Tamandua tetradactyla: one gene and its partners. Each later gene encodes a partner of the first gene's protein in a complex. Links are inferred from orthologs where the notes say so. Each region holds a gene or a part of one and is shown in the gene's direction. Other genes may lie near its edges.

Region 1 (8,145 bases):
ACATTTGTTCTTTTGTGCATTTGAATTCAGTTGTCCTGTCTTCTAGTTCACTTATTTTTTTTCACCTCTTCAAATCTACTGTTGTGTGTCTCTAGTATATTTTTAATTTGAGCTACAGCAACTTTCATTTCTGTAAGGTCTGTTATTTTTCTATTTATTCTTTCAAATTCTTCTTTATGCTGTCTAGTATCTTCCTATCTTTTTTTAGCCGACCCACTGAACTTATTTAAGAGATTCGTATGAACATCTTTGATTAGTTGTTCCAAATTCTGTGTCTCCTCTGGTGTTTTAAATTGGTCATTTGGCTGGGTCACAATTTCTTGCATCTTCATGTGCTTCGTGATTTTTTTGTTGACTTCATGACATTTGATTATCTTGAAAAAATTAGTTTGAAAATTGATTTCAAAGTCATCTAAGATTTTGGAGTTGTTTGGGTTTGTGTTGAAGGTCTCCTTTTGCACTTGGTTTGTCAGCAGTTCTCTGCCAAACCAAGGCCGGGACCTCATGCAGGAGATGCAACTCTAACTGGAGATCTTTTAGAGGCTAGGCAGAATGGTGGCTTGCCAGGCTACACCTCCCTGGTCTTTCCAGCAGATGGTGCTCTTGGGCCACCTCTCTCCATCAGGCCTGACTTACCCCTGCTGGATCCCAACCCAGTGTAAAGCCAGCCAGGGCCGCAGGTCAAGATGTGCAGTGAGAGCCACCATCCCCAGGGCCGGGGGTGGGCAGTGTGCACCACGGTGGGGAATCCACTTGTGGGCACCATGGGTCTGGTGGTTGCCGGGCTCCTGCGTGCAAAGACTGAGGACTGAGTATTACAACTGCCCCTGTCCTCAGCCAGCCAGGAGTGCCTGGGGGTGCTGCACGGCTTGCCCCATTGTCCCCACCTCTCCACCCATGCATGCTGTGAGCACTCCAGGCCTCCAAGACAAAAGGATAGATGTAGCAGGACCCAGGGAGTCTCTCTCACTAGCTGTCAGATTGGCTCTGCTCTGTGTTCCCCCCTCCTCCCAAGGGAAGGGCCCCCCAGCCTCCACCCAAACCAGGCTCCCACAGCGACTTTCCTCAGGGGTTGGTGGGCAGGCCCTGTGCACTGGCAGCAAGGCCTCTGCAGTAAACCAAGTCTGCTGGCTTTGTAGTTCCCCACGGGAGCCCCAGCTGCAGGGCCAAGAGGGAAGACCTCTCAAGCTGAAATGGAGGTGGGCAGGAGTGCAGGAGCATTCGGCTCCACTCCAGCCTGCATGCTGCAGCCTGCCCCAGTTGCATCACAACTGAGTTAACTCACCCCATCTTCTCAGTCATAATTTCTGTTTTTTCATCCAGGTCCTCCCTAAATAATGTAGAAGTCCCTCTTTGGTACTCATACCCTGGAACTGCTGTCCTCCTGTCACTTCTCTAGTTGTTCCACAGAGCAGAGGCGAGCTCAGACTACCCTATTCTGCCATCCTCCCTGCATCCTCAGTTTAATTTTTAATAGGCAATTCACTCAAGGGTTCCAAAAATAGAACATATAAAACAGCACATACAGTAAAAAGCCTCATCCTTATCTGCTTTCAACCCAATTCCCATTATACTCCAATTAGGGTAGCCAATGTTCTTAGTATTTAGGAATCCTCCAGTTAATTTATGCACATACAAATAGACTGTTATTTCCCTTTTCAACACAAGGTAACACATTACATTATTGTGTCATACTTTTCTTAGTAATTTATCTCGGAGAGCTTTCCATATCTATTTATGGATACTTCTTTCTTTAGTACAACTGCAAATATTCTATTTTGTAGATGTGTGACAGCCCATCTACTGAGTTGTTTATTGATGAACACTTTGGCTCTTTCAAACCTCTCTTCCTGGTCAGGCTCTGCACCCAGCCTCCGGGATGCCATCTGTGTGGACACCTTCCTCACCCAATTTGGGCCCATGCAGCAACCCCCATTCCACAGCATAAATGCCTTCTTTGCTCAGCTTCTCTTGAGGACCTTAGGACTGAATTGTTCAGGAAGGAAAGAGAGGGAGTCTTGTATTAACTCTTAATGCTCACTACCACTCTGGGAGAAAGGAGGAAGTATTCTTATTTAATGGTGGAAAAAGCTTATCGAGGTTGAGTTCTCTTCCCATGTTCTCACAGTTAGTAGATGTTGGAGCCAGGATTCAAACCCAGATTCAAATCTGGTCTCAGACCAGCTCTGGGAACCATGATGCTGCTAATCACATAAACCATCATATAAAAAGTGCTGTTAAGTATATTATATCAATGTTTTCAGTGACATCTTCTGATACCTCAAATATTGTCCTTTTTTATATAACCTTGTTATATATATGAACAAATCTTATAGCCCAACTCAGGCTTTCTCAGCCTTACTTTGTCTCTCAGGTTTTCGGCTGCTAGTTCCTAAAAACAACGCTGTAAGAGAAGTACTGTCCTTGTTGTCCTCTCTTTATTGATGCAGAAACTGAGGCAAGATAAATTAACTAGCACATGGCAGAATGAGGATTTGAACTCAGGTGGTCTTGGCTCCCACCACAGTGCCAGGTTTCCTTTGAGGTACAGTTCCCTCTGTATGATAGGAACAGGAAGTGCTTTGAACCACCAAAAAGACTTTGATTCTAATTTAGGTGTAGTGGCTTTATGAGTTAAGGAAGTTAATATATATAAATATAAATATAAACATAAATATAAATATATATATATTGGCATGGGCAGGCTCCGGGAAGTTAATTATTTTTGAGCCTTAATTTCTTTACGAGACAAAATACCACATCTCTCAGGTATAACACAAAATGTGTAAAGCATCAACTAAATAGAAGGTACTTGAAACTTAGATTTTCCTCCCTTAAACTTACTTTAGCCATAACTATAACTGTTTCTGACTATAATCATAGAAAAACAAAATGTTGAGATTATGGGAATAAAAGAGAGAAAATGAAAGGCAGAGATCATGGATTTCAAAGAGAACTTTCTGAACTCTATTCCCCTTCATCCTTTTGGGGATTCTATATATTTATTTATACTCTATTCAAAAACACTGAGAGGGTAGGCATTGTCTCCTAGGCTTTGGATCCATTTCACCTTCCACATGGCCTTGGACAAAAATGCATAACCTCTGTGACTGCCTCCTCTGCTCCGAAATGGGGACTATGATACCTATCTTGACATATGGTAAGGACTTAAAATAAATAACATGAAATACACCAGCATAACATGGCAGGCAGTCAATGTGCGTTAGCTCCCTTCCTTTCAAAGAGGTTTTTAAGTTCCACAAGGGCAGAGATTACATGTCCAATTTACTCACTATTTTACCCTCTGAGTGCCTACTTCATAGAAGATTCTCAATAAAAATTTCTTGGTCATTTACTAAATTACTCTAAATGTTTGTTTACATTGGAATTTTTGGATCATGTGCTGAGGTGTGGTAGCACTCAGGTCTTACCAACTTGCTCAGCCTAATTAATAACTCGGGACAGTTTCCTCAAAGTGTACCCAAAATGTATTCTATCCTTTCTTCAAAAAATGTAAACCTTTTTATTTCCCACAGATTAAACCAATTATTCTGATAGATATTCTGTTGAATCTTTGCCAACATGGCAAAATATACTTCTAGAAGTCTTTAAAATAATAATGTCCTTTAACCCAGGAAGGATCGGAGATTTATTTCAAGCAATCAGAAATACCCTCAAAGAGTCACACACAAATATGTTCAACACACATTTATGGGGGGAACTGGGAATGACAAAAGAATGATTAATTAATCATCATATATGCATAAAATAGTAGAATGGAGGCATTAAACCACACTTTAGAAGAATTTTTATTTATATAAGAATTTGCACACTATAAAGTGAAAAGTTACAAAATATCTGTTTTTAAACGTACATATGTTACAATAACTGTACAAAGTAACAAAGTAAACTTTGTTGACTTTGATTGATGGAATTACCAGTGATTTTTGGTTTAATTTTTAGAACTTTTTGTATCTTCCAAAATTCCCACAAAACATACGTCTGGCATTTATAGTCATAATATTCAACGTGAGAAGAAAAAAACAACTTTAAACACAACTAGCTTTACAAAGATTAACGTTTGGGGTGAAATTTTTTCTTTTACTTCACTGAGAAAATGGCTTTTTTTAAAAAGTCAGACTTCTGAAAAATATAGCTGCCGAGCCCGTTTGCTCATCTCATCTCTAAAATGGGGCTGGTAACTGCCAAATCACAGACCCCGAGGGAAGATTTCCTCGCTAACGGCGGTCGAGGGCCTGGCAGACATCGGAACGCAAAGTCTGCACGAAGGCTAGGTATTTACTGAGTAATTGTCAAGATAAGGGGAAGTCCATAGACATCTGGAGTAATTACAAAAATTGCTTGGCATAAACTATTCTAAAACAAAAGTAAACCGACAGCGCCGCTCCAAGCGCCTTTCCACGAACCTGTACTCACCGGCCCTCGGGACCCGGCTGGGTCCCAGCACAAGTTGTAGGAACCAACGGCGCCTCTCACCGTCCTGAGGTCCCGAGGCCCCAACCGTCTTCCTTCCTAACACTCCATCCTCGGCCCAAATTCCTCCCCCAAGGGCCGCAGCAAGTTCTCAAGAACTGACTGGGGTTCCTTCAGGGTAGAGAGGAGCGAGGATCGAGGGCCCGGGAGGCGGGCAGGGCGGCCCCGGCACCCGCTCGGGCCTCGACCGCGCACGCACGGAACGGGTCTACCGGTCCCCGCGGGCAGCGGAAAAGAAGAGGAATGGCAGGGACCGCCACCCCGTTTCCAGACTCGGCTTCACCTCATCGGAAGTCAGTTCCGGACCTGACTTTCTGCGGGGTCAGAATGAGCACTACAGAATAAAAAGGACCCGCAGGTACAAGGAGACCGTGGCAGAGGCGCCGCCATCTCTCCCGCCGGTCATAAAATCCGCGGGAACGTAAAGAAGACACTCGAGATGCCCGAGCTCGTTCCCATGGAAGTACAGGGCAAGGGGAATCCCTAGCACAGAAATCACGTCCGTTTGGCATTGTGCACAGCGTCTCCCAACCCGGAGGTCTAGACAAGGTTCTTCCAAAGGCCCCCTGGGTGAGTGAGCAAACGGCGTGTCCAAGGGCCCCCCGCGGGCTCTGCCGGCCCCCAGGGACCCGTGTCCCGAGCGCAGGGCCTCAGGCTGTAGCCGGGTCCGCGACCCCGAAAGCACTCGCGCACGACGTGGGTTGCCAGGAGACGTGACCAGCCGCCTCCTCCAATCAGCATGCATCTCTTTGCGTCCAATCACAGGCGTCAGGAGGGCTGTGGTGGAGGTGAAAGGTCACGCTGCTGTTTGGCGGCCATTTCTCCTCAGGTTCAGAGACCCCCGGCCTACGACAGCCGCTCCAGACACCGGGGACGGACGACAGCGGGGTCGGAGGCGAGCGGCCTGCAGCATTCATTGGTAGTCACGATGGTAAGAAGGAGAGAGCGGCCAGGCTCACCGGAGAGGGCGAGAGGGAGGGCAGCAGCCTCGCCCGGCCTGGTGGCGGTTTCACGCCTTCCCCATTCATTCGCGTGAGGGGCCGCGCGCGCTGCAGCCAGTCTCTTTCTCTCTGATCTGGAGGGGTCTGAGGCGCGCGCTTCTTCCGGAGCCCTCCTCGCCCCCTCCCCAGTAGGGCCCCTTCCCTTCTTCGTTTGCATCCGGATCTGAGATTTCCCGCTGGCTGGGACCACCGGGTCTGGGTAAAGATGAACCAGGGTCTTGGATCGCTGGGTTCAAAAACCCCCAAACCCACTTTTATTCCATGGTGTTAGGATACTCAGCCCTGCAGCCCTCTGGAACACAAAGCCCAGACTTGAGAGCATTCATTTATCCATTCAGCAGATATTTATTAAGCGCATATTACTTACTAGATACTGCTCAAGGGCGTTAGGAATATCGTGTGAAAAATATTCATGTTTACCCTGTCCTAGGTGAACTCATGGTTGTTTGTGGAAAACAGACGTTACTCAGTAATAGGAGTAAATATATAGTTGCAAGTAATGATAAGTGGTAATAAGGAACTAAACAGGATGCTGTGCGGGGTGATGTGCCTGGGTGTGGAGATGGATGGTCAGGGATGGCCTCTGTGGGAGGTGGGATTTGACCAGAGACCTAAAAAATAGAAAGACTGAACTACAAGAAACATAAACAGAGGCCCTAAAGTCGTAAAGAAAGCTTGACCAGTTACACGAATTGACAAAAAGCCACAACTGCATGCAAGAAAAGTGATTATGAGATAGGACAGGAGGAGCAGGAATTGGGTAGGCCCTTTTAGGCCATGTAAGGGGGTTTGAATTTTATTCCAAGTGTAATTGGAGCCATGTAAGCATTTTAAGCAGAGATAAGATGTGACTGAATATATACTTTAAAAGACAGTGGTTCAATATAGAATTATCATATGACCTGGCAATTCTACTTCTGGGTACATAAGCAGAGAAAATGAAAATAGGGTCACAAACAGATACTTGGACACCAGCTTTTATAGCAGCATTATCCGCAACATCAAAAAGTAGAAACAACCCACGTATCCAACAACAAATGAATGAATAAACAAAATATGGTGTATACACATTATTTAATGTTATTTGGTTGTAAAAAAGAATGTAGTTGTGAGATGCTGCCACATGGAAGAACTTTGAAAACATGCTGGGTGAAATAAGCAAGACACTTATGTTCAGGTATTGTATTTTATCAATCATAAAAGTTGACTAGAAATAGCGAATTGCTAGAGGTGGAAAGCAGATTAGAGGTTACCAGGAGATGGAAGGGGGTGGGGGTGAAGTAAGTGTTTGCAAAAAAAAAAAAAAGAAAGTGGGAAGATGTGGACTTTATTCTCAAAAAGAATTGATCAGACAAATAGCAACACGGTAAATCTTGCCTCAAAATTGAGGAAGAGATGAACTAGAGACAGACACAAAGATCACAAAAAAGGAAAAGTGGAAAGGGAAGACATGGTTGACCTGATCATAATGTTTATCTGACAAGCCTATTTTCTACAGATTGATCATCTAACACTAGATTAAAGATGTTCATAACTTTTCTTAACCAATCATTCTTCTCAATGAAAATGAGGACAATGATTTCATCTTGGAAATTCTTGTGAGATCAAAGGGCATTCGTTTCCACAAAAAGATAAAAAATATATAGTATTTTTTGAAGTCTCAATAAATATTCACATTTCCTACAACAAAATAATAGTTGCAGTAGTGATAATAAATTGGGAAGAGATGAGTAAAAACTGGAGACCCATTAGGTGCCTATTTCCATTGTCTCCATGTCCTTTGAGATCACTTTGAATATGCTATTCTTAGAGGGGCGATTAGTAGCCAAGTTTCATGGTTCTTTTCTTTGTGCTTTTGGGTGAACAGATAAGGGAAAGAGAAAAGTCTGAACTCACCTAGGATACTACTGGTTGGCTTCATAAACAGAGGTTAAGTGATTGCCCATACGGAGGCAGGCATTGCTAGGCATTAGTGATAGCAAGTCAAAAAACCCACCTAGCCCTGACCTCAAGAATTAACGTGTGAGTTAGTCAAACATGTTCTATCTTGTGCTTCCTTCTGTAGCTTCATATTTGGGGCTCTAACAGTACTGAAGTATTTGTACGTCTCTGCGCTTGCCTTGTTACTTCACCTTTCCCTGCTTTTCTATTGGTAATCTGTGCTTTAAAAAATCCCTTTTTTGGGCGGTGCAGCAGTGGCTCAGTGGCAGAATTCTCGCCTACCATGCCAGAGACCCCGTGTTTGATTCCCAGAGCCTGCCTATGTTCCCCAAAAAAGCCCTTTTTCCCTTCGAACATCTCTCATCCTTTATGTTACCTCTACCCTCATGCCCCCCAAGCTTCTTGGGGAGGGGACGATGTCATTTGCATTTTTTTAGTGCCTTTAGCTTTGTTTCTTTAGAACCTGGAACAATGAGTGATGTAAAGTAGGCAATCACTGTTTAAGTGAATAATGAATAAAGGATAAGTTTTAAAGTTTTGATAGGTTGAAGATGGGCTACTTAAAGTTCCATGATGCCTTTCAACAAATGAAATATATAGTAAAGTGAGAGGGAGTCAAGAGTTTGCTTGATTTGGGTGCTATAAAATATTGGTTGGTGATTTGAGAGAGTAGAGTGGGTGGAGAAGCCAAGTTAAAGGAAAATAATCA
Region 2 (7,886 bases), on another chromosome or scaffold:
GGCTCAGCAGGCAAGAATGCTCACCTGCCATGCCAGAGGACCCGGGTTCGATTCCCAGTGCCTGTCCATGTAAAAATAAAAAAAATAAAAAAAGACAGCCTACACAATGGGAGACAATATTTGGAAACGACATATCAGATAAAGGTCTAGTATCCAGAATTTATAAAGAGATTGTTCAACTCAACAACAAAAAGACAGCCAACCCAATTACAAAATGGGAAAAAGACTTGAACAGACACTTCTCAGAAGAGGAAATACAAATGGCCAAAAGGCACATGAAGAGATGCTCAATGTCCCTGGCCATTAGAGAAATGCAAATCAAAACCACAAAGAGATATTATCTCACACTCACCAGAATGGCCATTATCAACAAAACAGAAAATGACAAGTGCTGGATAGGATGTGGAGAAAGAGGCACACTTATCCACTGTTGGTGGGAATGTCAAATGGTGCAACCACTGTGGAAGGCAGCTTGGCGGTTCCTCAAAAAGCTGAATATAGAATTGCCATATGACCCAGCAATATCATTGCTAGGTATCTACTCAGAGGACATAAGGGCAAAGACACAAACAGACATTTGCACACCAATGTTTTATAGCAGTATTATTACAATTGCAAGGAGATGGAAACAGCCAAAATGTCCATCAACAGATGAGTGGCTAAACAAACTGTGGTATATACATACAATGGAATATTATGCAGCTTTAAGACAGAACAAACTTATGAAGTATGTGACAACATGGATGGACCTTGAGAACATTATGCTGAGTGAGACTAGCCAAAAACTAAAGGACAAATACTGTATGGTTTCATTGATATGAACTGACATTGGTGAATAAACTTGGAATATTTTGTTTGTAACAGAGACCATCAGGAGATAGAAATAGGGTGAGATATTGGGTAATTGGAGCTGAAGGGATACAGACTGTGCAACAGGAGTGGATACAAAAACTCAGAAATGGACAGCACAATACTACCTAACTGTAATATAATTATGTTAAAACACTGAATGAAGCTGCATGTGAGAATGATAGAGGGAGGAGGGCTGGGGACATAAATGAAATTGGAAAGAAAGATAGATGTTAAAGATTGAGATGGTATAATCTAGGAATGCCTAGAGTGTATGATAGTGAAATGTACAAGGTACAATTTTAAAAATGTTTTTGCATGAGGAAGAACAAAGGAATGTCATTATTGCAGGGTGCTGAAAATAGATGGTAATTAATATTTTTAAATGTCACCTTCTCTGTGAGACTAAAGCAAAAAATGTTTATTAGTTACAAAATTTATATTTTGACTAGTGCATTTCCTAATATAACTTATGTAGATAGTTTGATTGAACACCATAAGTACTTGGAATCTCAGGTTGGACATGAGATTTTGCTGGTTTGTCCAGAGTGATGCCCCGATGAATCCCAGAGTGATTCAATCAGTGAGTGGAAAAGTATTTGCAAAGCCCCCATCGGGGAGTGGTGAGAATGCGGAGAAATTCAACTTCCCCAAGTTGAATTCTTGATATTCTCACAAGCAGTGTGGACAACCAAAGATATAGGCAGAGCCCCCAGTCTTGGGGTTTGTTCATATGAAACTGAACCCTGCAAAGGATAGGTCAAGTCTACTTAAAATTTAGGCCTAAGAGTCACCCCCAAGAAAGCCTCTTTTGTTGCTCATATGTGGCCCCTCTCTCCAGCCAACACAATGAGCAGTCTCACCACTCTACCCGTCTCTATGTGGGACATGACTCCCAGGGGTGTGGACCTTCCTGGCAACGTGGGACAGAGATCTCGGAATGAATGGAGGGGATTCATTGGGATTGAGAAAAACCCTAGAATGAGCTGAGACTTAGCATCAAGGGATTGAGAAAACCTTATCGACCAAAAGGGGGAAGAGGGAAATGAGACAAAGTGTCAATGGCTGATAGATTCCAAACAGAGTCAAGAGGTTACCCTGGAGGTTATTCTTATGCATCAAGTAGATATCATCTTGTTATTCAAGATGTAATGGAGAGGCTGGAGGGAACTGCCTGAAAATGTAGAGCTGTGTTCCAGTAGCCATGTTTCTTGAGGATGATTGAATAATGATACAGCTGTCACAATGTGACTGTGTGATTGTGAAAACCTTGTGTCTGATGCTCCTTTTATCTACCTTGTCAACAAAGGAGTAGAACATATGGAATAAAAATAAATAAGGGGAACAAATGCTAAAATAAATTTAGTTTAAATGCTAGTGAACAATGAAAGCAAGGGGTAAGGGGTATGGTAGGTATAATCCTTTTTTTTCTTTCCTGTGTTCATTTTATTTCTTCTTCTATTGTCTTTTTATTTCTTTTTCTGAATTAATGCAAATGTTCTAAGAAATGATGAATATGCAACTAAGTGATGATATTGTGAATTACTGATTATGTATGTTGTTTTATTTTGTTTCTTTATTTTTTTAATTAATAAATAAATTTTAAAAAAATTTAAAAAAAGATTCTGGAAAAAAAAAGAAGTCACTGTATTCCAATAGAATTCTATTTATGGATGCAAAAATTTGAATTTCATATAACTTTCATGTATAATGAAATATTCTTTCGTTTTTTTTCAAAAAAAGTTTTTTTAATGTTAAAAAAAATTTTTAGCTCACAGGCTGTACAAAAACAGGGTATGGGCCAAATCTGGAAAACCATTTCAGTTCTGAGGGGAAAACTGCCTCAACTATTCCAAAACAGAGGGAGTGGACCTCAGAGCTAAGAGACCACAAAGCCAAACTTCTATACCTAAAGATGAAAGTGAAATCATACTGAGAGAGAATACCATTCAAAGAAAGTTGTTGAAAGAACCAGTAAAAGATGAATTCCAGGAAGGAAAAAAAAATTAAAATCAGAAAGGATTGGAATGCAAGATGCAGTTCTGAGGGAAAAAAACAGTAAACATGAAGGTATATCTAAATAGGCATTGATGGCAAAAAGAAAAGTAATAATAATGATAAATTTCTGCTTAAAAGTAAAGTTGCACTAAATCACCAGAGAATAAAACATGTGAGATGCAAGCACAGTAAATAGAAGTAAAGTATTCTAGGGTATTTGTATCTTTGAGAGGAGGCTAGAGATTACTAACTTTAAACTTTGTTAAACATTATTACAAATTAAGGGTACTCACTAAACAATCTTCTATTTAAATATTTAAATAGAAGTATTTAAAGATAATATAGATGGTACAAAGTTATTGGAAATATTTTGATCTTCATTACAAACGGTTGCAGTTTGGGAAATCAGCTTAAATTTTTTTTAAGAAATAAATATCTGCATAGATAAAAGCAGTAAACTTGATATTATTACATACGTAAATATTTTTTTTTCTGGCAAACACCAGAGACTTGAACTGTCATAATTCTCTTAACCATTTGTTCGCACATACTTCATTTTTTTATTTTTGAAGGCTGGTCAAGAATTATACAAGTTAATATTTATGGAGCACTTTACATCGATTTTCTCTTTAATCCCTGTGAAATAGATATTATTGTTCTGTCGTTAGTCGAGGACGTTGAGGCTAAGAGTAAGTAAATAAGGCACACTCACAGAGAATTTATTTACATGACCATAAAGCTGGGTGGTTTGCTACTTAGACACTAGGCTGGCTTTCATTATTTTCTTGTGATTAATATCTGGCTTCAAAATATCTTCCATTATTTTTAACTTCCGAGTCTTGGCATTAATCTTCTGGGCACAACTGTTTCGAAACGGAGGGAGTGGACCTCACACTTAAGAGACCACAAAGCCTAGAATGCAACGCGGCGCCAGGCCGCCCGGGAGCGCAGCAGCTCGCGGCAGGGCATGCTGGGAGTGGTAGTTTCCTAGCCGCCCTAACTTCTCCAACCTTCGATAGCGTCCGAATTGGACCTCGGTCCCTAATCTCTAAAACGCGGCGGTTCCCCTTGTCTTCGTATTCCCGGTGACTGACCTAGGAATGCTCCGCTGACACCTTGAACCCAGTCTCCACGTCCCTCCCGGCCAGGCTAGTACTGCCCACCTTACCTGCAGCTTCGGAGGACGCACAACCCGGTTACCACAGAAACGGCGCTGCCTCCGTCACGGCGCGTGTTAGAGGTTAAGGGTCATCAAATCGGTTCCGGCTTCAGTTCCGGTTCCGGAATTCCGCTTGTTGTCGGAAAGCTTTGGAGTGTATGCTCCAAATACTCGAAGTATACTCCGAATACTCGGAGCAGGTTTCTGCCGTTCAAGGGGTGGCGTGTGGCGCACTGCTGCCGACATGGCGGCCTCCACCGCGGCCGGGAAGCAGCGGATTCCTAAAGTGGCCAAAGTAGGCGATAGCGAGGGATCTTGTGGGAGAGGGCCTGTAAGAAGAGTTTCCCCCAGACCCAACCTCCGTGGTGCCCGGGCAGGGGCGAATGTTATCCCGGGACCAGGGCCACCCCGCCTGGTGCCGCGGGAGAAGAGACAGGGAGGGTCAGCCGGTGGTCTGGCGCGGGCTTTTGTCTCCCCAGAGCACGACCCGCGTCGGCATGGCTTTAGTTTTGGGAAGGTGTTTTTGCTGGACGAGGAGAGAGGTCATTCAGCACAGTTTTATTGTGTTGGCGCTTAGCGCCTGTGTCTTACGCTAAATGTAACGTTGCAACCTCCTAAAGCTACTGGAGCAAAGTGGAAGATGCCATGGGCGAGAATAAGGGGAGTTCTGCGAAGCGGGGAGTCTTCAGAAAAAAAAACTTTGCTGAGGAAGTGATATTTAAGCTGAGACTTGATGGCTGAGTAAGAGTTAAGCCAGCGGAGACTGGAAGGAATGAGAGTAGGTTACAAGGGTTGTGGAGCTGCGTAAATGGAATTAAATAGTAAGCTTAATATTATCTGATAGTTCAATCCATGGCTCATATTTACCGGGTGCTTAATATGTGTCAAACTCTGTGCTCATCCTTTCCAAACATCGTTATCTCCTGTCTGTCTCCAGTCCAGATGTGTCTCTTGAGGTTGGCGTTTTCATCTCTATTTAGATATGATTCCTAGAGATAATGCAAATAAAGCACAGTATCTGGGACACAGTGCTCATTACTTACATGTGGCATTAAATATTTCTTATAATTCAATTTCATAAATTTTATTCAGTACCTTCTATATAAAATAGACCTGAAGGAACCAATACCGAGCAGGACTTGATCTAAAGTAGTGCTTTCCGGTAGAAATATAGTGTGTTCAAACGAAATATATGTAGTTTTAAATTTTCTCATAGCCGCATTAAAAAGTTAAAAAAAACAGGCGAAATTAATTTAAAAAACATTTTTAACCTCGTATATCTAAAATTTTGTCATTTTGACATGTAGTCAATATAAAAAATTTAATGGGGCAGTTTGCATTCTTTTTCATACTAAATTTTCAAAATTATATGTAGTTTGCGTTTAAAGCTAATCTCATTTGAATTCATCATATTTGGGCCATAGCTACTGTGTTGGACAGCACAGCTCTAAGACCTCAAGAAGTTTATAATCTAACCATGAGAACATGTTCAATATTGTCTTTGACTTGAGGTGATTTGAAAACCAATCCCTATTGTTTGAAAATGGGTAGAGGCGATGGTAACACATTATTGTGAGAATAACAGTATTATATGGTGTCTGAATGTGGTAGGAAGAGGAAGTTTAGAGTCATGTATGTCACCAGAAGGAAAGTTGGAGCTTAAAACATGGGAATGTATAATACTGTGAATCTTGTGATGGACAATGACTAATTGTACAAATATAAAAAATGTTCTTAAATGAACTAGAACAATTGTACAACATTATTACAAGGAGTTAATTATAGTAGGGTGCACTGGGGAAAATGTACATATTGCTAACTAATGACTATAGTTAACAGTAATATCTTAATATTCTTTCATCAGCAGTAACAGATGTGCCACACTATGAGTCATTAATGGGATATGGGAGGATTTGGGTTTTCTTTTTTCTTTTTATTGCTTTTATGTAGTAATGAAAATGTTCTAGAGTTGATCAAGGTGACGTATGCACAACTTATGTGATGATATCGTGGGTCAGCGATTGTATACTTCGGATGGTTTGTATGGTGTGTGAATATGTTAATAAAACTGCGTTAAAGATAAAAAAATAAAATCCAGTCCCTGTCGTCCCCTCAGGGCATCAAGATAAACTGAGGAGTCCCATAAATAGAGGTTGTAATGCCAAATAAGATATGGTACACATCTTGATAAAGCAATACCTCTGGTGAGAATTTTACCCAGACAGCCCCAAAGTTTATTGTTATATTAAGCTAAAGCGCAAACTTGCTATTATCACTACCTGTCTTCTTAACTCTTTTACTTATGGCTTTGGTAATAGATAAAATATACAAGATAGTAAGCATAATATTTTTTCTTTACAGTCTCATAGAAAAATGAAACATGTCATACAGATAGAGCATTTTATGATAATACGCATGAAGTTCACATCCTAAAAAAATTTTGGTTCTTTAAAAAATCTTATGTGAAGAGCATCTACCCAAACTAGAAATGTCTTCTGTCTTAAAAGGTGAAAAACAAAGCCCCTGCTGAGGTACAGATAACTGCTGAACAACTCTTAAGAGAAGCTAAAGAAAGAGAACTTGAGCTACTTCCACCTCCACCGCAACAGAAGATCACAGATGAAGAAGAGTTAAATGATTATAAACTAAGGAAAAGGAAGGTGAGTCCATGTGATATTTTTGAGAGTCTGTCAGTATTGACAAGAATTTATAGGTTAGAGTTTGAAAAGGTGCACATTAGAGAGTCTCTAAGATAAGATTAGTGTTTCTAGCCATGTGAATAATATAACTTCTGGTTACCAGATAACTACCTTTTGCTGAACTCTAAACGATGCCATGAGTTGTCTGTTTTAAAGTGTAAAGACATTAACTCCACCAGAGTCGTTATTTTTGATGCCAAATTGAAGATTTGTGAAACAACTGACAACTGTAAGAAGGGTGTACTTAGCAAATGTATTATATATTTTTGTCTCACTTCCCTTCTGTTTTAAGAATGGGGATATGAAAAAAGTGGTGAAAAGACTTGAATGTGATTTGACTTTCCCACGCTGGAGTGTGTGAATATTTTAAATTTAAGATAGTGTTTTTAACAATATACACTAATCCTGTTGTATCTACTTTTAGTCTCATTGAGTTGTATGTGAAATTCTAAAAGGACTTAAAGATAATCATCAAAACTTTTCTTAGGACAAATGTAGAGTGTATTCAAGTGTCAGTTGTCATGGGTTACAGGAAAAAATAGTGACAATTCTGCTACCAATTCTTCATATTCCTTTTTTTCTTTTTATCTACATATAGGACTTTAAAGAAACCTGTGATTCTAATTTTCTTAAATGAAGTTCTTGTTTCTCTCAAGGATTCCAGGACATACTTTTTCTTAAATAAGAATAAAATGAATTTTTTGTTTTTTAATGCAAGGAATAATAAACAAAAAATGATGTCATTTTTAGTTGTTTTTTCTTTAATTTGACTCTTCTTGCCTTCTTCCAGACTTTTGAAGATAACATAAGAAAAAACAGGACTGTGATTAGTAACTGGATAAAATACGCACAATGGGAAGAGAGTCTAAAAGAGATTCAAAGGTAAAATTGCTGAGAGTATAATTTTGCATATAAAGATTAATGTTATATGTTAACAAATACAGGAAATTAGGAAAAGTAACTCTGGCAGTATTTTTCACTTCTGTTCCATGGAATCCTAGGGTTCCTTTAAGAGATCTCAGGAGCACTGTGAAAGGATTGTCCTAACATGACAGGAAGAAGCAGTACAGGCAAATACCACCACTGCCTCACACTGTACAACCAGAGAAGCTCAGTTTCATCTATTTCCTATATAGTGAGAGTGTTAAAATTAAAAAGTATTCCACTATGTGAAGATTCCT
Region 3 (8,013 bases), on another chromosome or scaffold:
AATGTCATCCTCAACTCACATTTTTCGTCCTCCACTCATACCCACCTGGTCAACAAAAGTATTTCAAAAATCTCTTTCATAGCTGGTCTTTTTTTCATATATGCCTCAGAAAAGACCTTTATATTTCTGCAACAGTTTTTAAACTGGTCTTTCTCGCTCCATTCCTACTTACCACCCACACTGCTGACATCCACCTTTCTGAAAAAAAATTCAGATCAAACCACAAAGCAATCTCACTTATAAACCTCCTATGGTTCCCTACCAGCTAAACAAGAAATCCAAATTAGCATTCAAGGACTTTCTCAATAGAGCCCCTGTAGAAAATGTAAACCCTCATCTCTCTTCTTCTGCCAATACATTTTGTAGTCTCAACTTTGCACTGTTCTTTGAACATTTCATGTTCTTTCACATTTTTGTGTCTTTACTCATAATATTCCTTCAGACTGAAATGCTTCCTCGTAGCCCCTTCTCTGCCTGGAAAACTTCTACTTATCAACTATCACTATCACCGTCTTTGTGATAGTCCTTCTTCAGGGCTCCCAAAGCATCTGTAAGTATTGCTGCAATAATACTCTCCTATTACACAGTTAATCATCTCTGCGTTTTGTCTTGCCTGCCAGCCTGTGTGTCCTCTAAGGGCAGTGATGATAACTTGATGTCTCTATATCCCACGGTGCTCTTCAATGCTCCACAATGCTTGGCACATACCAGGGGCTCATGAATGCTTTATAATAAATAAACCAGATAATAAATAGAGAAACCATAGACATAACCTATCAGTATTTTACTATCAGAAAGTCAGGTTGCCAGTTTTACTGAAAACTCACCTCATATTGGCACCAGTACGGAAAGCATATTTCTTATATTTGTCAAATATCAAAGCTGTTTCCACCCTGGGGGAAGACTACTATAATAAACTTGACCAACAAAATCTTATTCTATTATAATACGTTTAAAAAGAAAACTGGATTAAACTGAACAATTAAAAAAAAAAGTAAAACTGGCTTGTACTTTTGTACTTTAAACTTGCTAAGTGCTTTCATGCTTTTAATTTTAGTTTGTCTAGATAATATCCTAGGTCCCTTCCAGCTCCAAGACGCTATGAGTTACTCTGAATTTTCTGTTGCTTTTATTTTTTCCTGGAAATGTAACTACATGCTATATATATGTTACCACTATTAAAAAGGGGGATATAATTGAGGCCAAAATTTAGCCATAGCCACAGAGCTAGAAATGCCTTTAGAATCTAGTTTGTGTAAAAGAGCAGTTAAAAGTGAAGGTTTCAGAAGGAGACAATTTAGCCTGAACCCTATCTCTACCAATATACTAGTTGCATTGATATATGGCAGGTTATCTTATCTCCCTAAGTCCTAGTTTCCTCAACTTTAAAGGGATAGTTACACCTACCTCACAGAGTCTTACAAAAATAATGAGATAATACGTTTATGAGCTTGACACATAGTAAATAAATGGTAGGGAGATAATAACTTTACTATCATTATTATATATTATATAATTATATATCATTATTTAATACATTTCTTCATTTTACAAATGGTGAAGAAACTGAGGCCTCAGTAAAAGGAAATGACTTACGTGGTCACTCAGCTAGTAAGCAGCAGAATGGGTCTAGAACATAGGACTCTTCTTCCTTAGACTACAGATATTTGCACACTAATGTTCATAAGTGACATAATTCACAACTGCTAAAACATGGAAGCAACTCAAGTGTCCATCGATAGATGAATGGATAAACAAAATGTGGTATATACAACAGAATATTACTCAGCTGCAAAAACAAATGAAGTTCTGATACATGTGACAACTTGGAAGAACCGTGGAGACATCATGTTGAGTTAAACAGGCCAGAGACAAAAAGACAAATATTGTGTGACCTCACTGATATCAAATAATTAGAATAAGAAAACTCACAGAGTCAGAATCTAGAACATAGGTTACGAGGGGATGGGAATGTGGGGGCAGGGTAGGGAATAGGAAGTTAAGGCTTAAAATGTACAGAGTCTCTATTCAGGACGACAGAAAAGTTTTGGTAATAGATGGTGGTGATGGCAGCACAATATGGTGAACATAATTAACAGCAATGAGTTATACATTTGAATGTGATTAAAAGGGGGAAATTTTAGGTTGTATATATGTTACTAAAAGAAAAAAAAATCCATGGCACTGCACAACACAGTAAACCCTAATTTAAACTATGGACTATAGGTAATAGTACAATTATAAAAACGTGCTTTCATCATCTGTAACAGATGTAGCGCACCAATGCAAGGTGTTAATAATAGGGTGGCATAAGGGAATCCCGTATTTGATGCATGATTTTTCCTAAACTCACAGCTTCTCTAATAAAAAGAATATACATATATTTTAAAGTAACATTTAAGCAGAGACCCAAAGGCTGAATGAGAATTAGCCAGGTGAAAAAGAAAAGGGGAATGATAGCAACGATAATTTCTAACATGTATACAAGCATGCATAATTTCCAAAGGTGAAACTGAGAGAAAATTCAGTTTGGCAAAACGTGGTGAGGTTCTGTTGGCACTGTAGGCATGGCAGTTCTTCACTGTGGGGGTGCCCCAGGCAGTGCTGCACGCTTGACACCCCAGGCCCCTGCGCACTAAATGGTGACAACTCCCACTGCACACATTCCCCAATGCTCCCTGGTCATGTAAGGAGAACTGCCTCCAGGGGAGAACTGCTGGGTACATGATCTAGCGTGTGCACACACGAAAGCGTGTGAGACAGAGGGTGGCTAGGGGGACACGGAATGGGAGAAAAAAAAAATTCTCTGATATTTATTGTAAATATTAAATACTAAATGATTCACTGGTGGCTCAGATGCATCTATGCATGGCTTCTAGGCCCCAGCTGAGACCCAGGGGCTGTCCTGTACTTCCATACCAGCTTCCTTTGCTGAGGGCATTCCCTATACTTGAAATATTTTCTTTCCTATACTCCATGGATAGAAATCTTAGCCATATCCATTCAGTCATTCAAAAAACATCTGTTCAGCTTCTATGTGTTGCGCTGTGCCAGACTCTAGGAATATAAGGTTGAAATGGTTTCTACCCTTAAGGAGAGTATAGGCTGCTGGAAAGACAAAGATGGCAAACAACTGGTATTACATAGTAGAGGGGGCCACAGAGGAAGGAACTTCTAAGTCTTTCAAGGTCCATGGTGTTGGCTCCCTGAAAAATCTGCACTAGTGTTCCCCCCCTTGTCCCCCTCTGAATAAAAATTAACCTCCTTTTCTGATTTCCTGCTCTTTATTAAATACCTCTACTAGTTCACAACACAGTCTGCCACCTGCAGTCACTATTTGTGTCCCTGTCCACTTCACATTAGACTGTAAATTACACGATGGTAATGACCACATCTCTCAAGATGGTTACCACAGTGCTTTAAATATATGAAGCATAAAAACAAAGTTGGCTAAATCCAATACTTGTTTGTTAGATTGAACAGGATATGGGGAAAAATTCACCAACTTTAATGTGCTCAAAGTAAGCGCTAAAGGGGAGGGTCTGTGCAATATATTTTTACACTTGTCAAAAATACCCCATACATGACCTGAAATACTTGGGGAAGAGAGTACCTTACCAGAAAGAAGGCAGAGCACGGAAGGAGGGAAATACAGCAAGAAAAGATAAGCACCCAGGAACTTAGAACTAAAAATCAGCTCTCCATTAGCTACTGTAAATATTTAATCACTCTCAATTAAAAAAAAATCTATGTGGTTAATAGCCACAAAAGCTAGTAAGGCTTCAGAGTCAGACAGACCTGTTTGAATTCCAACGCTGACACTCATTAGCTATTTGACTCGGGTCAAACTGGTTAACCAATCTGTCTCAGTTTTGTCATCGGCAAAAAGAGGACAATAGTCGTATACTTGATAGGGACATGAGGATCAAATGAGCCAATGTACGTAAATCAACTAGCATACTGGCTGACATACAGTCGGCTGCTCCTCTCTATCGGGATAGTGGGAGAGGATCTGTCCCGACCAGACAGTGCAACACTGAGAGATGTCAGCAAACGAAAGGATATAGGTAAACAGAACACGAGCACAGCCTCAGTTAGGAAACATTCAGGGGAAGTTCATCTTGAGGAGCCAAAGCATTCTTCTGAGGAATAACTCTCCTAATTGGGAGACTCACCGTTACCCCGTATTTGAGTGCTAGTCCAGCCAGCGTGTCTCCGGGCTCCAGCTGATGCTCCAGGCGTCTTTCTCTCACTGGAGAACAGGCAGACTGCACCAGGCTACCATAAGAACGAGCCCGGCTTCCCTGAAGCAGTCCTGAACCCCCAAGAGGAACCTGTCTAGAGGGAGAAGCCATCTCCTCACCCTGCCGACAGCTGAGTCTGCGACTGAGAAGGCCCGGCTAAATCCAGGGTATTCCTTTCTTCTTCTTTCCTAAATCTTCCCCAACCCACCCCCTCGCCCTTAGCTCCCCTTTATTCCCCCAAACCTCCTCCCGCCTCTGTCACTCCACCCCCTTCCCCGCCCTCTCTCCTTTCAAGCCCCTTTTCCCACAGTCCTAGTTCTTGAATATTCAGTTTCCCGAGTCTCCCTTTAGCCACCCACCAACCTTCGACCTCCCACAAGTCCTCGCTCCACTGACCTCTGACTTTTGAACTCTAGGTACCCTCGCAACACCCTTTTCTCAGTTTGTTCTCTCAGCCGGGCAGCCCGGCCTCCCCCACTGCGGCTCCGCCCCGTCCAGGGGTTGGTCCGTTAGGGTCAGGAACAAATCAGGCCTACTCGGGGTGAGCTGTCGCCACAGACGAAGGGCTTAAGGATGGCGAGCGTTTGTAGTCCACTTCCATTCAGGGACTCTAAGAAGCCAGCTCAGCATCACATCGGTCACACTCTCAAATCCGGGCTCAAGCATCAGCTCCACATCTAGGATCTTGTGCCTCCAAAGGCCTCGAATCTTCCAAGATGCAAGGGCCTTGGTTCCAGCCCTTTGAGAAAAGACTTCATCTCCCGAAAGGCCCCGCGCGTCGGGGGCGCCGGGAGCCAACGCAGAGCCGCTTCCGCCCCCTTCGCCGTCGCGCAGTGCATACAGGGAACCGCGTCCCCGGAAGTCGGGCGGCCAACCGGAAGGAAACCAGGAGAGGGAAAGCAGACACCTTTTACCTGCTAAGATGGCTTGAAAGGTGCGGGTGATGCATTGCTAGCGAGTTTATGGCTGCTGGGACTCACGATAGCGATGTCTTTCAAGAGGGAAGGGGACGATTGGAGTCAACTCAATGTGCTCAAAGTAAGCGCTAAAGGGGAGGGTCTGGAGCAGCTTCAGCCGCCCTCTGAAGTTTTTGAAAGAGCTTTGCCGGGTTGCTCAGGCAGCAGCTCCGGGGACGGGAGGGAGCCAGGCGACTAGAGCTGGAGGTGCACCCCCTTTTCGCCCTTTGATCGCTGTTCTCTCTATGGTCATTATTACCTTTGATTCTTCATCACTATAATTTCCCTTCCATACTTTGTCCTGCTTATTTCTTTGACCCTGTTCGATTTCTTCCCTCGCACCCCCTGCAGAAACGAAGAGTCGGTGACCTCTTGGCCAGTTATATCCCGGAGGATGAGGCACTGATGCTGCGGGATGGACGGTGAGGGCAATGAGTGACGCAAGTCTGAGGTTTCTGCGGTTACAGGTCCAATAAACTGTTGTTGTTAAGGAGAAGACTGGGAGTTACTAGGACTCTGGTGCGGCGTGAGGGACCAGAAGAGATAGGGATATGGTTGGTAAAGATCGGGAAACCTGAGAGTGGCCTATGAAAAGGACTAGTGGGACAGGGTGGAACCTGTAGGAGGAACCCTCCTGATCCAGTTATCCTCTTCTCTCACCTCCCTAGCTTTGCTTGTGCCATCTGTCCCCACCGACCTGTACTGGACACCCTGGCTATGTTGACTGCCCACCGTGCAGGCAAGAAACATCTGTCTAGTAAGTTTGGGGGGAAGACAGGAAACAGAGAGTAGACCCTCGAAATCTCTGCAGGTCACTCTTGGTACATTGCTTGTAATTTCCTTTCCGTTGCTCCTCAGGCCTGCAGCTTTTCTATGGCAAAAAGCAACCAGGAAGGGGAAAGGAGCAGAATCCAAAACAGCAAAATGAATTGAGGAGGGAGGAGACCAAATCAGAGGTAATCAAGAGGTAATCCTAGGCAGGGCTCTGCCACACACGCCAGGCTGGAAAGGCTTTGGCTCCTCTCTAGCTCTGAAGGCTCTGATTCGGTCTCCTGTTTCCCTGCCAGGCTCCTTTGCTGGCCCAGACTCGATTTATCACCCAGAGTGCGCTGCACAGAGCCCCCCACTATAACAGTTGCTGCCGTCGGAAGTACAGGTCTGTGGGATGGGAAAGCCAGAGGAAAATATGGTGATTTGAGGATGAAGAATAGGGAAAGAGTAACTTTGCTATTAGTTCTTACATTTAGGTCCATAATCATTTTGAGTTACTTTTGGGGTGGGGGGTGGGGGGTGGTGCCTGGTCTGGGAATTGAAATGAGTTACTTTTTGTATATGGCTTGAAGTAAGGGTCCAGTTCATTCTTTTGCATGTGGGTTATTCAGTTGTCTCAGCATCATTTGTTGAAAAGACTGTTCTTTATCCACTGAGCATTACTGCATTAGGAAAAATTAAGAATTGAAGAATAACTATGAAAAGTTATTTCACTTCACATTAGTTAGATGGAGACAATGGATGGAAAAATATATATGGTATGGGAATCAGTCTTAAGGCAGGGAGGGACCTAGATAGATGGAAGGCAAAAGGAGATAGATAGCTCTAAAAATATTGTTTTCCAAATTGTATTCTGAGGAATTTGAGAGTTCTAGAGATATTAATTGGTATTTCAGGAAAAAGAAAACTTTGTGATTTTAAATAAAGTTTGGGAAATAGTACTTTGTACTCTTACTTGAGGAATAGTAATATCAGCATATTTTAAAGGCTCTACAAAGTCTTAAAATTAAAAATATATATATTTTAAAAATTTTGTTTACTATAGGCTTTTCCTAAATTCATTTGATTACAAATTCCTCATATGCAGAACACTTATTAATATCTTGAGAAGCAGTTTAGGAACCAGTTGTTTAGGCAACACTGCTTTTAGGGGGTGGGAGTCATAGAAGAGTTGGTCTTTTCCTTTATGGCATTTATATACTTCTATCCTTCTCTCCCTAGACCCGAAGCCCCTGGTCCTTCTGTCTCCTGTTCTCCTTTACCACCCCCAGAGGTTGAACTCCACAGTGGGATAATCAGCAGGCAGCCTGAGTCTGGGGCTGGCCCACAGGCCAAGGAGACAGCAACTGTCTTAGCCCCCCCACCCATGAGCCCCACAAGAAGACGAGCCCTGGATCGTTACCTCACCCTTCGAAGGTGAGTATGCAAAATCACTTTCCTCGGATTTTCTCTTTGCTCTCTGTCTCTCCTTTTTGCACACATACTTGATTGTTGTTTTCTTATCCCCATTAACGACTCAAACTTCCTTTTTCTCATTCTGACCAATTCTGTTTTCTCTGATGTTTTTCCAGCTCTGGATGGATCCCAGATGGACGAGGCCGATGGGTGAAAGATGAGAATGTTGAGTTTGACTCTGATGAGGAAGAACCCCCTGATCTCTCCTTGGACTAACACTGTCTTTCCCCATTTAATTCACAAATAAACTACAACAGGTGCTGGGAGCCTCACTTTTCTAGAGTCTGGTTCTTGTCCCATCTCAGGATTTCAGATCTGGCCACTCCTTCCCTGCAATGTACACAGCTCCCCATACTTCTCACCCTTCCCCCACTTTCTACCAAAGTCATGCCAAGCGTCAGCTGCATGCAACCCGGTGCCCTATTAATAAGTCTGTCAGAAAGGTCTTCGCCCTTCATGTTGTCTGTCTCTTTCCCTGTCTCCACTCAGAGTTTGTCCCCCTTCACATCACATGAGGTATAAGGTAGGCACTGGGGGGCTTGGCCACATCTGGAAACAGGGGTGAGGCTAGGTGCCTTGACAAAGTA
Region 4 (8,009 bases), on another chromosome or scaffold:
ATTTTAGGATTAAGCAAATAACTTTGCATATCCTGGAAAAGCAAAGCAAGGACTCTCACAGTTGGAAAAAGGAGTTAACATGGAGAGGGGAAAGGACAAAAGGGATCCTGCAGTACTGGACAGCATGAACTAACGGATAAAGTTTATCCATTTCCCAAGCTCTGTCCTCAAAGACGGCCCAGAAGCAATGACACCCTAGTAACAGTTAAGCGCACAGAGTAGGCAGATCTTGGTTTCTAAATAAATTCTCCTCTGAACACTGCTTTTAACTACAAAGGGTAAATTAGTAAATTTTTTTTTCTTTGTACACTGTATGGTGGGGGTCACATTTTACTCTTTTTCCATGTAGGTATCCCCTTATTGCAGCACCATTTTTTTGATTTTTGGTTTTTTGCTTGGTTTTTGTTTGTTCGTCATTTTTGGGAAGTGCATGGGCAGGGAATCGAACCCGGGTCTCCGGTATGGCAGGTGGGGATGTTACCACTGAACTACCCTTGTACCCCCTAAACTAGCGATTTTACAGCTAGAAACCTGGTTGTCCCTCTGTCAACCTAATGAGCAAAATCAGCGTTGGCAGTAAGGGGCAGCAATGGGCAGCACCAGCCTCCTGACATCATGTGCTGTGAAGAACCAACATCGCTTGTGTGGGATTCCTGCCACAAATGCATAACCTGGATCATGATGAAACCTCAGACCAACCCAAACGGAGGGACAGGCTACCAGATAAACGGCCTGCACCCTCCAACAACGTCAACATGATAAATTAAAACGAGGAGTCAGAATTACTCAAGGTTGTACTGGTCTAGGGAATCTAACTGAATTCCATCCAGGCACCACCCTGGACTTCCTTTTGCTATAAAGGGCTTTTTGTTACCAGAACTGTTGACATCTCCATAAGGTCTGGAGATTTGATAATAGCACTGTTTCAATGTACTTTCATAATTTTGATTACTGGATTGTGGATATTAACTGTTCTCCCCAGGGGAAACGGGGTATAGGAGACAGGATTAATATAAGACTTGTGGAACTACTTGGGAGTAGATGGCATTAGTGTGGTGGTGGCAGTAAACTGCTTTATGTTATCTGATTTATGTAAGACAGTTTAGGAGGAAGAGAATGTTTGTTTACCCCAAATGGTTATTTTAAGTACGAAGGAAGAACACTGAAAGATAAGAACTTTGTTCCCTGGGGAAATGCATGCATGCCTATTGTCATCCTGTGGTATATAACCAGGATCTGGTTAAGAATAAAATTGCATTTATCCACTGTTGGTGGGAATGTCAAATGGTGCAACCACTGTGGAAAGCAGTTTGGCGGTTCCTCAAAAAGCTGAATATAGAATTGACATACGACCCAGCAATACCATTGCTAGGTATCTACTCAAAGAACTTAAGGGCAAAGACACAAATGGACATTTGCACACCAATGTTTGTAGCAGCGTTATTTACAATTGCAAAGAGATGGAAACAGCCAAAATCTCCATCAACAGAAGAGTGGCTAAACAAACTGTGGTATATACATATGATGGAATATTATGCAGCTTTAAGACAGAATAAACTTATGAAGCATGTAATAACATGGATGGACCTAGAGAACATTATGCTGAGTGAGTCTAGCCAAAAACTAAAGGACAAATACTGTATGGTCCCACTGATGTGAACCGACATTCGAGAATAAACTTGGAATATGTCATTGGTAACAGAGACCAGCAGGAGTTAGAAACAGGGTAAGATAATGGGTAATTGGAGCGGAAGGGATACAGACTGTGCAACAGGACTAAATACAAAAACTCAAAAATGGACAGCACAATACTACCTAATTGTAATGTAATTATGTTAAAACACTGAATGAAGCTGCATCTGAGCTATAGTTTTTTTTTTGTTGTTTGTTTGTGTTTTTTGTTTTTTTCCTTTTTTATATATTTTTTATTTTTATTATTATTTTTATTTTTTCTCTATATTATCATTCTATATCTTTTTCTGTTGTTTTGCTAGTTCTTTTCCTAAATCGATGCAAATGTACTAAGAAATGATGATCATACATCTATGTGATGATATTAAGAATTACTGATTGCATATGTAGAATGGAATGATTTCTAAATGTTGTTAGTTAATTTTTGTAATTAATAAAAAAACTTCATTAATAAAAAATAAAATAAAATTGTCTGAAGTCTGTCTGAAGTAAACTCAAGCTTCAGACCCCCTGAGCCCGTCTGTGTCTTTCTTTCTCTCCTTCTTCCTTTCTTTCTTTCTCATCATTCCTTAATATCCTTCGAGCTCCGTTTCTACAGGAAGCAACAACGGCGAGCAACACCCACCGCATAGGGTTGTCCTGAGCATTAAACGAGCTGATTCAAGCACAGAACTCAGCCCCAAACATTCAATAAATAGAGGGAAGACTCTCACGGGACGCTGGGTGTCAGGGAAGGGTTTCACTGGGAAGGTGGTTGGGGAGACCCAGGGCCTGGGCCCCACCTCCGTTCCGAAGGGGAGTTAGGCACTAGCTGCCTACATGACGCCCCCCTCAAGGAGGAAAGACGGTACAGATGGCATCACACGCCGCTTACCTTGTGAGGGCACTGAAACTCCTCTTCCCCAGCACGGTAATAACACATCTCCACACCCCTGTGCCAGGACACCTGCTGAAGCTCTGCTCCTACACCCCACGGAATGTCTCTGTCCTAAACCCTCACAAGCTATCCTTTGCACCCCTCAACCTCCCCGCAGGACACCGCCGTCAAGAAGAATCTTCTGCTAAGAAGTCATGTCTAAACCCCGTGCCCGGTGTGCTCTTTCGGGTTGAGAATGTGCCCACCCCGGCTCCTCAGGAGTTGGGTTGGAATACTTCTTTTTAAAACCCCCCCACCCTCCAGCCTCCAGCCTCCACCTCAGGAACGCCAAACAGCTCAGGCCCAGGAAGACAAAAGCTTTCCATAGCCATAGTTTCCCTGAGGAGCGTCCAGCTCAGGGACGCACTGGCCAAAGGCCACGGCTCAAAGAGGTAGGATTCAGGGCAATTCCCTGCAAACTGAAGCCACAGCTCCCATGCAAAGTCAAGATCCCCAGTGCCGAGGCCGGCGACGAGCGTGTCCTGTGAGCAAGGATGTTCTCAAAACCTGCGTGTGGGATGGCGACCGTAGGCCCTAGGAAGGGGGTGAGGACACTGGAGAGAACCAGGATAGCCACAGGCGGTGGAGCCAGATTTAAACTTTGGCCCGTCTGAAAAGCCCAATTTCTTATATCTCTGCTCCAAGAGACTGGCTGCTTCTTGGGATCAGAAAAATGGATTTAATTTTTTAAGGGGGAGGGGTGATCATAACTTTTTCTTTTCCTGTCACATCTCCGTGTGTATACATTTACGTCTAACACGTTCCAAGTTAAGTAAGAGAAAACTGCATCTCTGCCAGGTCGCCTTACTAGGGGATAACCGAAAACTATCTCCGGGGGCAAGCTGCCACCTTTCCGCGCGGTCTGCACGAGTGAAGCCTGCGACCACCACCAGCATAGCTCGGCCTGTGTCTGGGCCAGGGGGGCCCATCGTCCGGGGTCCGGGACGGCTTTCCCCGGAACCAAGGCTGGGAGCCGCATGGACGCCAGCGCGCCCCTCGAGCCCGCACTCACATGGCAGGAGCTTTGTTGCGGGGCTTGAGCCATCGCCTCCCAAAATGGGGAGACAAGATGGCGCCCGCACCCCTGACCGACGCTACATACGGGTTCTTCGCCATGCAAGAACTACAACTTCCAGAATGCTCTGCGGCGGAAGGCGGGCGGCCGAGGAGCGCTAGAGCGACGGTCGAGGTGGCGCTCAGCTGTGGGTCGTTCTCCCCAGCAGAAAGCCTCCGGAATACGTTACTCGCTCCGGCCGCTCCCCCCACCTTCCTTGTATTGGCCGACGGGACCCGCAGTTCTCGGTGACTCGCAGCCACGAGTCACCACTTTCGGGCCTTAAGAAACCACACTTCCCGGTGTGACTTTGGCGCCTGCGCAAAAGTGTGCAGGGCATACTACGATTCCCGGCGGGCCCTGCGACGCGCGCGGCTGCGTGCTGACGCGCTTAGTCAGGCGTGCTGACGTGCAGCGCGGCCCAGGCGGGGAGCGAGTGGCGCAGTCGGAGCCTGCTGCGGCCCCTGAGGAAGCAGAGAGGCGTCGGCGTCGGCTGAGGCGGGCGGATCGGCGGGTGTAGGCTGCGGCTCCAGGCCCCGAGGGACTCGAGAGCTCAGACAGCGGCAGTACCTCTCCCCCTCGGAGGCGGCGGGCGGAGGAGGCGGCGGCGGCGGGTGAGAGGGTGAGGGAGCGCGCGGACCGGGTGGGGGAGGGGCAGCCGCACGGCGGCCCCGGCGCGAGGCCAAAGCGCGGGGAGAACGGCCTAGGCCGTTTCGCGCACGCGCGTTGGATGCTCCTAGCTCGCGCGGACGCCCTCGCTTGCCTGCTTCCCCTCCCCCTCCCTCGGTTCTCGTAGCTCAAGGGCTTCTCTCCCTTCCCCCATGGCAACGGCGCGCGCCGCCGGCCGCATTCGGGCTCGCGCGCGCCCCGTCTTCTCGCCGCCCCCGGTCCTGGGGCCGCCGCTGTTCATTTCGGCCTTTTTTGGGGGGTGGGGTGGGGTGGGGGGCGGCCGGGAGCCTTCTCCCGGGCCTTCTCTCCGGCGATCTCTCCGGCACTGGGCTTCCCCGTCCCTCTCGGGGGCCTGTTGGCAAACCCGGAGGCTTCGTTGGTCCGGCTCCTCCCAGACTGCGGGGCGCCGCGCAGCCCCCTCCCCCATCCCTCAAGGCCGAAAATAGGCGTGCGCGGCCCAGCTAGTTCAGGGAATGCCTAGTACTAGATGCCCCCGAGATTTAGGCATCTTGAAGTCGTTTTATTAGAGGATTGAGGGTGGGACCTTTAAAAAAAATTCCTGCGTATTCAGCCTAGGTATGTAAGGTATTATGTGTGCTCTTTTTTTCATATTTTCATTATCTGCCCCCAAATCGTTAAACCTAAGGAGACTGTTGGAGCCCTTCGTTGGAAATAAAACTCCAGACCTAGAGACTTGGCTTCCTGTTTCAAGCGCTCTTTGGGCCGCAATTTTTTTGAGCCCTGGTTTCCACATGGCGTCTCTGAGATGTCCTTTAGATACAAAAAAATTCAGAAGAAATCTATTTTGGGGTCTTCCGTGTTAGTTGTGTGGGTTTAGGTCTCTTCCTGAGATCACAGTTTACTTTTCTGAGTTCCATAGTGTTTATTCACCTATTACAACGTCCCAGCCCCGGTCTTGCCATGTTACCTATGTGTCCCTGTACACCTTCCCTCCTTGTGGTGCTATTTCATTTTTTGATTTTTAAATTTCGATATTCCCGTCTATCTCCTGATTTGGGATCCTGATGATTTTCCCATAGAAGAATGTCTCTTTTGCCTTCCTTTGCAGTTTGATTTAACTTTCTATTTTTACATCGGATCATCTGTGCATGCCCACAGTCTTTGGACCCCGGTTTAAAATTCCTGTTTTATGAAGTTCCTTCTCCTGCTTGGTCCCTTCTTTTAGTGTTTTGAGAACCTCCTTGGTTGCCCTGGTGTTTTTGTTTGTTTTTTTCTCTTTTGTTTCGTTTGATTTGATCGTGTCCTAAAAGTTCTCCAATTCATTGTGACTAAATACCCTTTGCTTGGCAGCTACTAGTTTTTTCTCCCTGGGGAGTGGGAGGATTTTTGTGTGAGGTGGTGTGGAAGTGCGGGTGAATGGTTAAGTAAGCTGAAGAATGGTCAGAAGCATTGTGTGGGGGAAGTGGAAAGTTAGGTGGGGTGTAGAGAGGCAAAGAGGGCTTTAGAGTGGGGAGGATTGGTATTGGAAAAAAACGAAAGTGACAGTGGGAGGGTACAGTAATAGCTGATTTCTTGGGCTATAAGGAAGTTTTTTCATTTTCTTGGGCCTTTCCACTTGCCTTTTCTAGATTTGGCCTCATTTGCCACTCCCTTACCTTTGAAAAAAGTTATTTTTTGAAAGGCGTTATACCTATCTTTTTCTGCTTTTAATTCTGTCTTAGGTTTTCTGCTGGGGTTGGGCAGGGAACCGGCCTTAGTTTTATGGGGTAAATTGTTGTGAAACTGAGCTATCCATTCTGTTCGTTCAGAATCGTTCCATGCTTTTTTTTTCTTTTTCCCCTAGTATATCTGTTTGTATGATGCTCCTTTCCTTTTATCTGATTATTTCTGTATTCTTTTCTTTAGCCGTTCCTTGGGTCTTTTTCTCATACGCTCATGCTCTGTGAAATTGTCTTGGAGAGGATGAGTGGGAGAAAGGAATGGAGTGTGTGGAGTCACAAAATCTAACTGGAAAAACTGGGACTCGATGGTTCTTCAGGGTCTTGTTAGTGGTGGGACAAGTTGAAAGAATAGAACGTGGTGGGAGGCATGGGATTAACATGACAGGGAGAAGACAGGGCTAGGAGAGAAAACTAGAAAGTGAGATACAGGGGTTTGGTAGGGAAAACCAAGGACAGGTTGACTAATGAAAGTGAGGTATAGAGAGGGAAGGTCTTTTGAGTAAGCTTATGAGGCAAGGAGTATAGTGAAAGGTATGGGATGAATTAGAACAGAGAAGGCTGATTTGATGAATTTAAGTAGAGCTCTGAGTTGAAAACTAATATTTAACAGGAGTTAGCATTGAAGGAACAGCATGCTGATCGTGGGAATTCCTCTTGGGAAAAATATTGAAGGAATGAAATATTCAGATAGTTTTTAGGAGCTGTGAATGTTTGGAACCAAGGAAAAGTAGCCGTTTACTAGGAGGTGAACGAAGTATAAGGGGTTTAGCCAAGGTTTATGTAAGTTTCTGAGGTACATGTTGGATTTTAGTCTGGGTGTGAGGCTTCACAGGAAACTTGATTTCTTTTAACCAATTAGTCCACTAGTTTAGATATCTAGGGGCATTTTAGTCCATTTTGTGTTCATACGGGTTGGCCTGGACTCTTGGAAGAGTTTTGGAGCTTGGACCACAGGCCTTTGGGTGCCTCAGATCTCTCTGGTGTTCATTGTGCCCCATTTGAGGCTTCAGTCAGTTACTGGCTAGGAAGTCCAGTAGTTGGAGAAGGCACTATTTGTGCTTATTGGGGCCAAAGGAGGTTAAAGGGACAGTGTGGAGAGGTTTGAGAGAAATTGCATCCTTGTTTGCCTCAGTTGGAAAACAAAATCTAAGAAGAAATAATTGAGAGTTTTGTGCAGGAGTACTGGGAGAAAGGCTTTAAAAGTAGGGCTGTGATTTGATGGACAGGAAGAAGTGTGGGGAGGATGAAGGGGCATATTAGGAGACCAGAGGATGATGAATCAGTGTACAGCTGAAGGAGGTTTAGTGTGGAGGTGAATGTTGAAATAGAGATGGAGGAGGAGAGCAGGGACTTGGGTGGTGGTAAGTGGTTAGTTTGGGGCCAGGGGCCTGACCCGTGTCTACCCGCTCCCCCCCAGGAGCGGTGGTGCCCCCCGGGCACGGGGCCATGTACAACGGGATCGGGCTGCCGACGCCCCGGGGCAGCGGCACCAACGGCTACGTCCAGCGCAACCTGTCCCTGGTGCGGGGCCGCCGGGGTGAGCGGCCTGACTACAAGGGAGAGGAGGAACTGCGGCGCCTGGAGGCTGCCCTGGTGAAGCGGCCTAATCCTGACATCCTGGACCACGAGCGCAAGCGGCGCGTGGAGCTGCGATGCCTCGAGCTGGAGGAGATGATGGAAGAGCAGGGGTGAGGGGAGGGCTGTGGGAGAGCCAAGCATCGAGTGAGTGCAGAGCTGGGGAAGTTAGGTGGAATTTGGGGAGCTTAGAACTGGTTGAAAGAGGACTGACTAGGAGTCGTCATAGGGGAGGAGGTGAATAAGCTGGAGAATTGGAAAGGATCTAAGGGACAGATCAAAGTGGGAGATGAGGACACTGTTTGGGACACAGACGGGAGCCTGAGCGAGTCTTTGGATTATTTAGATGGAGTCGCACGGGTAAAGGGGAGAGTTGAGGAACAAAAATGTGTTTTGAGGGAAAGTAGGAAAGCAGAGACAA

Evidence for each region.
Region 2: SNRPF (region 1) and CRNKL1 share a complex: the UniProt entries of both Homo sapiens proteins name them as parts of the minor spliceosome. The link is inferred for Tamandua tetradactyla from reciprocal best matches to the Homo sapiens genes SNRPF and CRNKL1.
Region 3: SNRPF (region 1) and SCNM1 share a complex: the UniProt entries of both Homo sapiens proteins name them as parts of the minor spliceosome. The link is inferred for Tamandua tetradactyla from reciprocal best matches to the Homo sapiens genes SNRPF and SCNM1.
Region 4: SNRPF (region 1) and SRRM2 share a complex: the UniProt entries of both Homo sapiens proteins name them as parts of the minor spliceosome. The link is inferred for Tamandua tetradactyla from reciprocal best matches to the Homo sapiens genes SNRPF and SRRM2.

The regions. Positions count from the first base shown.
Region 1 is NC_135333.1:165,942,265-165,950,409, forward strand, and holds the start of SNRPF (small nuclear ribonucleoprotein F), read left to right. Parts: upstream 1-4,871; 5' UTR 4,872-5,064; intron 5,065-5,259; 5' UTR 5,260-5,422; coding exon 5,423-5,425; intron 5,426-8,145. UniProt on the Homo sapiens protein: Plays a role in pre-mRNA splicing as a core component of the spliceosomal U1, U2, U4 and U5 small nuclear ribonucleoproteins (snRNPs), the building blocks of the spliceosome.
Region 2 is NC_135327.1:40,345,841-40,353,726, forward strand, and holds the start of CRNKL1 (crooked neck-like protein 1), read left to right. Parts: upstream 1-4,139; 5' UTR 4,140-4,250; coding exon 4,251-4,301; intron 4,302-6,513; coding exon 6,514-6,666; intron 6,667-7,495; coding exon 7,496-7,587; intron 7,588-7,886. UniProt on the Homo sapiens protein: Involved in pre-mRNA splicing process. As a component of the minor spliceosome, involved in the splicing of U12-type introns in pre-mRNAs.
Region 3 is NC_135330.1:4,391,210-4,399,222, reverse strand, and holds SCNM1 (sodium channel modifier 1), read left to right. Parts: upstream 1-4,685; 5' UTR 4,686-5,231; coding exon 5,232-5,282; intron 5,283-5,551; coding exon 5,552-5,622; intron 5,623-5,868; coding exon 5,869-5,957; intron 5,958-6,058; coding exon 6,059-6,156; intron 6,157-6,267; coding exon 6,268-6,356; intron 6,357-7,192; coding exon 7,193-7,387; intron 7,388-7,542; coding exon 7,543-7,642; 3' UTR 7,643-7,692; downstream 7,693-8,013. Other genes in the region: LYSMD1 (lysM and putative peptidoglycan-binding domain-containing protein 1), read right to left, coding at 4,176-4,355. UniProt on the Homo sapiens protein: As a component of the minor spliceosome, involved in the splicing of U12-type introns in pre-mRNAs. Plays a role in the regulation of primary cilia length and Hedgehog signaling.
Region 4 is NC_135349.1:54,601,785-54,609,793, forward strand, and holds the start of SRRM2 (serine/arginine repetitive matrix protein 2), read left to right. Parts: upstream 1-4,071; 5' UTR 4,072-4,276; intron 4,277-4,625; exon of another isoform or gene 4,626-4,907; intron 4,908-7,430; 5' UTR 7,431-7,459; coding exon 7,460-7,701; intron 7,702-8,009. UniProt on the Homo sapiens protein: Required for pre-mRNA splicing as component of the spliceosome. As a component of the minor spliceosome, involved in the splicing of U12-type introns in pre-mRNAs.